Kluyveromyces lactis: one gene and its partner. The protein of the gene in region 1 purifies or fractionates together with the protein of each later gene. This does not show direct contact. Links are inferred from orthologs where the notes say so. Each region holds a gene or a part of one and is shown on either strand. Other genes may lie near its edges.

Evidence for each region. Proteins that work in one complex are often made in the same cells at the same time.
Region 2: the proteins of CDC33 (region 1) and XRN1 purify together in Saccharomyces cerevisiae (affinity purification with mass spectrometry; 3 studies listed by BioGRID, with this or other methods). This does not show direct contact. The link is inferred for Kluyveromyces lactis from reciprocal best matches to the Saccharomyces cerevisiae genes CDC33 and XRN1.

What each region holds. Positions count from the first base shown.
Region 1 is NC_006041.1:1,876,025-1,879,138, reverse strand, and holds CDC33 (translation initiation factor eIF4E), read right to left. Parts: upstream 1,462-3,114; coding exon 829-1,461; downstream 1-828. Other genes in the region: VNX1 (calcium/hydrogen antiporter), read left to right, coding at 1-402; KLLA0_E20989g (uncharacterized protein), read left to right, coding at 2,057-2,917; RTC1 (Rtc1p), read right to left, coding at 2,947-3,114. UniProt on the Saccharomyces cerevisiae protein: Recognizes and binds the 7-methylguanosine (m7G)-containing mRNA cap during an early step in the initiation of protein synthesis and facilitates ribosome binding by inducing the unwinding of the mRNAs secondary structures.
Region 2 is NC_006042.1:2,093,596-2,096,185, forward strand, and holds the end of XRN1 (chromatin-binding exonuclease XRN1), read left to right. Parts: coding exon 1-2,001; downstream 2,002-2,590. Other genes in the region: BUD13 (Bud13p), read right to left, coding at 2,098-2,590. UniProt on the Saccharomyces cerevisiae protein: Multifunctional protein that exhibits several independent functions at different levels of the cellular processes. 5'-3' exonuclease component of the nonsense-mediated mRNA decay (NMD) which is a highly conserved mRNA degradation pathway, an RNA surveillance system whose role is to identify and rid cells of mRNA with premature termination codons and thus prevents accumulation of potentially harmful truncated proteins.

The DNA of each region.
Region 1 (3,114 bases):
CTTGTTCCTAATACCACAGAATTTTTAAATGCTATTTCTTTCGCAGTCAATGGTAATGTTGCACTTTCAATGGAAATCGGTAGTGCTTATGCATTGCAAGTATGCTTGTTACAAATTCCAGCCTTAGTCATATTCTCTATGCTATACGTTTGGGGTAAAGATTTGACTCAAATTAGCATTAGAGATAGAATGTTCCCGATGGTGTTTCCCAGATGGGATTTACTTGCATCAGTAGTGTCAGTGTTTCTATTCACTTACTTATATGCAGAGGGGAAATCGAATTATTTCAAAGGAAGCATTTTAATATTATTATACCTGGTTGTCATTTTCGGGTTCTATTTGCAAGAAATAATAGATGATGATTTCTGGGATATATCTCTTTTCGTTAGATTCATAAACTAAACTGACAGAATGAAATGTGGAGATACTAATCCACTGATAATTACACAGGAGAGGACTTTAAATAAAGAATAAACAGACACGTTAATTATTTATACATATCATTTAAAAAAGAGTTTACGAATAATAGTCGAAGGAATTATGATTAGCAGGACACGAAATGGATGTCGAAAGAGTGAAATCCAACCATTTTAAAATACCAAAAGTGTGCTGTCACAAACCGAGATTGTGATGCACCATAAAGATTCCCTTTATACGCTTTTTTTCCCTTTGGGTATGTGGTCAAGGTAAATTGAGATGATTCACAGCGATCAGATGAGGCCTGTCCAAAACAGATTTCTAACTATACTCATAATCCCTTGCATCGACAGTGTTTGGTAAATGTTGATTTAATTTATTGAGTGTTGAAATGAGGAGGGATGTGCTAATTTACAATAGAGCGGTTGGAGGAGCGTGACCTGAGTTAGAAGTTCTGTGATTGTAGAACTCCAACTTTTCACCTTCACCAAGTTGTAGAACTTGCTTAAACTTGGTAGCAATGTTAGTCAAAGCGTTCAAGTTGGTAGTTCTAGTCCACAAAGCAATCTTGAAAACAGCCTTTCTGACATTCAAGACGCAACCGTTGATTTCTGATTCTTCTTCGTCGATGGTTTCACCAATAACGGCCAATAGAGTTCTCAACCACAAATCATCGATGTTATGTCTTTTGTTCTTGAATTGGTACGACAACTTACCACCTTCAGAGTTGGCTTCATCTTCCCATTCAGGTCTGATATCGTTTCTGAACAAATGGTAATCAGATTTGATTGGCAAATCGAATGGCTTTGGAATACCATTTTGAATAGCCCAGAACTCTTCGACAGTATCCAAACTGGTCACTGGACGCAATAAATCAGACCACGATTCTGAACTATCCACAGGGGGCTTAGTATACCATAAAGTCCATTTGCTACTCAAAGGATGCTTCAATTGAAATTCCTTAGGATCAGATAAAACAGTAGCTGGCTTGGCTTCGTCCACAGTTAAATCCTGGGTCTTTTGAGTAACTTCTTCAACGGACATGATATTCTTCTTTGGTCGTAAGATCGATGTCTTTCAGGTTCAAAATTGATCAGGTAACCTCTGGTCTTATACAGATACATTTACGAGTAAAAAACACTCGAAAAATCTTAAACATGCGCAGAGAGTCAATCCAATCTTTGATATCACATTCGTTAATCCAACTTCATTTTTTCTTCCATTTGCCAACTTCCCATAGTTAACAAAATTGAAAACCTTCGCAGCTGCTGCCTGTACTATGCTGTCACTGCTACAAATTTTTTTTTTTCTTTCTTCTAAGAGAGGGTAATGACGTTACGACTTGTCCGGGTAAAACATGAATCAGTTGTCAATACACGTGATTATATTCAAAGGACGGGTAATATTGAGTTTTCTGGAGTTTTTCATGCTCTCGAAGCATGCGAATTGAAATACAAACCGTAGCTGGCTTGTTTTAGCAGGATATCGGTATTATGTAAATTAAAGGGAGTTTAATTATGACAAGCACCTCATTAACGTAGCTGCTGTCACTATATCCATCGAATAGAAAGTTTATTGATCAAGGTGATAGTTTGTCGTAACATATTTCTTTTTGCCAAAGCGACATTTTCCTTCTAGTATGCATTTATACAAAATTGGGAAAATGGTACTCGGAAGCGCAGCTGTCATTGTTTCTGCTTCACTGGGCGCTCTATATTTGTACCAAAACAAGCTTATATACCCATCTTGGGCACAAGGTGCTAGAGACCATGTAGATACGCCAGATCAATACGGTTTGCCTTATGAAGATCTCACTTTAACGACTTCGGATGGTGTTCTATTGAAAGCATTTGATATAAGGAATGAAAATTCGACTGCAACCATGCTTGTTCTTTGCCCCAATGCGGGGAATATAGGATATTTCCTGCCCGTTGCTAGGTTTCTCTATAATGAGTTTAATTTGTCCATTTTTTTGTATTCCTATCGTGGATATGGGTTATCAACAGGGTTCCCATCGGAGAGAGGATTGAAGATAGACGCAGATACCGTCATGGACCATTTGACAAACAGTGAATTTCATAAATCAAGGAAGCTAATACTTTATGGGAGGTCCCTTGGTGGCGCTAATGCCATTTATCTTGCTAGAAAATTTACCGATATCTGCGATGCCATTATCCTAGAAAATACTTTCCTGTCCATTCGCAAAGTTATCCCATACGTTTTCCCAATGCTGAAGAATGTGGCATTCATGTGTCATGAAGTCTGGGATTCTGAACAGGAAATTGTCAACATACAAGATGATACTTTACCTTTCTTGTTTCTTGCTGGTTTAAGAGATGAGATTGTCCCACCCCCTCATATGAAATTATTGTATAAACTATGTCCCTCGAGCTGCAAAAGATTTATTGAGTTCCCTATCGGTTCCCATAACGACACGATAATACAAGATGGGTATTGGGTTGTCGTTAAAGAGTTCTTACAAAAACATAACTTGATATAGAAAAGATCCGAATTAACAGGAAATTGACTTCAGAATAAGATTGCTGGGCATCCCAATGGGCATACATCCATGTTTTCGTCAAAAAACCATTTTTTCAAACACTCGAAGTGACCCTCATGCCCACAGTTAAGCATAGAAATAGCCAAGCTCTTCATTGGTTTATTGCAGAAGCAACAGAGAGTATTGCGCTTAGAACA
Region 2 (2,590 bases), on another chromosome or scaffold:
AGACATATGGGTAAGATTGTTTATTCAAGATGGCCGTTTCTAAGAGAATCTAAACTTTTGTCGTTGATTACAGAGGAAACTGTGTATGAAGGAGTTAAGTCAGGCAAATTAACAAAGGTCATTGAAAGAAAGCCTCAGGATTTTGAAAGGAAAGAATTTAGAGAGTTGAAGATGACTCTCAAATCGAATTATCAAAGGACAAAGGCCATTCTTTTGGATGACATTTCTGCTTTGGCTAAAGTGGTTCCAGTAAATGGATTGGTGAGAAACTCTGATGGTTCCTATTCTAAGTCTTTCAATGAAACTATCGAATACTATCCTTTACAATTAATCGTAGAGGACGTAAAAAATAAGGACGAAAGATATATTGAAAAAGAGCCGTTACCAATTAATAAAGAATTTCCAAAAGGTTCAAAAGTTGTGTTTTTAGGTGATTATGCGTATGGTGGGGAGGCGACCGTTGATGGTTATAATAGTGAGACTAGATTAAAACTTACAGTCAAAAAGGGTTCTCTCAGAGCAGAGCCTAACATCGGAAAAGTTAGAGCGAAATTGGATTCTCAAGCCTTGAGATTCTACCCAACACAAGTGTTTTCAAAAATAGCTCGTGTCCACCCTCTCTTCTTGTCAAAAATTACTTCAAGATATTTGGTCAATGATTCTAAAAAGAAAAGCCATAACGTCGGTTTGATGATCAAATTCAAAGCAAGAAATCAAAAAGTTCTCGGTTATGCCAGATGCAGCTCAAACAAATGGGAATACTCTGACGTCGCTCTTGGTTTGTTAGAGCAGTTCAGATCTACATTCCCTGAGTTCTTTGCGAAACTTTCTAACTCGAAGGAACAAGCAATTCCATCGATCACTGATCTCTTCCCTAACAAATCTAGCGCGGAAGCTGATTCCATTTTGAAAACAGTGGCTGATTGGCTCTCAGAAGCAAGAAAACCATTCGTGGTGGTGTCTTTGGAAAGTGATTCGCTAACCAAGGCTTCGATGGCAGCTGTTGAATCTGAAATCATAAAATACGTTTCTTTACCAGATTCAAGCGAGCAGAAGAAATTAGCTAAGGTCCCACGTGAGGCAATCTTAAATGCGGAATCGTCATATGTTCTATTGCGCTCCCAAAGGTTCCACTTAGGTGATAGGGTAATGTACATTCAAGATTCAGGCAAGGTTCCACTTCACAGCAAAGGTACTGTCGTTGGCTACACTTCAATTGGCAAGAACGTCTCAATCCAAGTTCTATTTGACAATGAAATAATTGCAGGAAACAACTTTGGTGGTAGGTTGCAGACCAGACGTGGTTTGGGATTGGACTCTTCCTTCTTATTAAACTTGTCTGATAGACAATTGGTATATCATTCAAAGGCATCGAAGAGTGCTGATAAGAAACCAAAAGCAGTTCCTAATGATAAGCAAGTCGCCCTCGCAAAAAAGAAGAGAGTGGAGGAACTCAAAAAAAAGCAAGCCCATGAGTTGTTAAATCATATCAAGAAGGATAACGCGGAATCAAATACCGAATCTGGATCCGCTCCGCAAATAGCAGTTAACACTTTAAATCCTTCGGCTGCTAACAACGTGTTCAATGCCGTCTTGAACCAAATCAAACCAGGTTCTCAACAGCAAATTCAACCACCTCCAGCAAATTCTCTGCCTTACAATTTCACTGTTCCCCCACATATGGTTCCTGGTGGTATTCCTCATCCTCTTATGATGCAGCCGCCTTTCATTCCGAATAATGAGCATATTGCTTATGCAGCTCCTCCTCAGTCACAACCTGTACAAAATCCACCATTAGATAAAGAGGCATCCAGGAATCTTAAGAATCTCCTAATTAGAGATGAGAATGGACGTACAGCAAATGTGGAGAATAAAGACTCAGATGATACAAAGAGATCTTCTCATTCTCGTGGCGGTCGTCGTGGCCGTAGTAATCGTGGTCGTGGTGCCTCCGGGAGGGGTGGTCATTTCAAAAATTCTCCTAAAAAAACTGAAACCTGAATGTTGGTTTGAATGGACTATTAACAGTAAATATTATATCACTTCAGTAAATAATGCTTAGTATATAAGAATAGAGACACTTTCAGGTTCAACTTTTCAAAATTCCCGGTTTGTTGTTTGTTCCTTTATTTTTTGATCAGCGATATCGTGACTCTTAGCAAACCACTTAGTTTCAAACCCATTTGATCTATCAACTCCATCCCATCTATAACCGGGAACGATACCGAACCGATTTTCTGGAAAGTTTTTCTCGTAAAGCCTTCGACCCAACAGTGACGTATTCGTTCCTCGCAGGGTGTTTCCTTGATTCAATGGATCTTCGGTTGATAATAATGCACTTTTCTCAGTTTTGCGATCAAGTTTTGATATTTGTACTTCGCCTATATTTCGTATTTTAAGTTCTTCTTCCTTACGTACTTTCGCTGTCAAATTAGCCTTTTCTCGAAGTTTCAATTCTTCTTCGTATCCATCTATTACCTTACCTTTTTCGTCTCTATATACTGTGTTCTGATTCTTCTTGAGAAGCCCTGATTTTTGCATAGAAAGTTTTTCCTTTTCTGCGATCTGCTTTTCCATCTCTTCTGCTGTC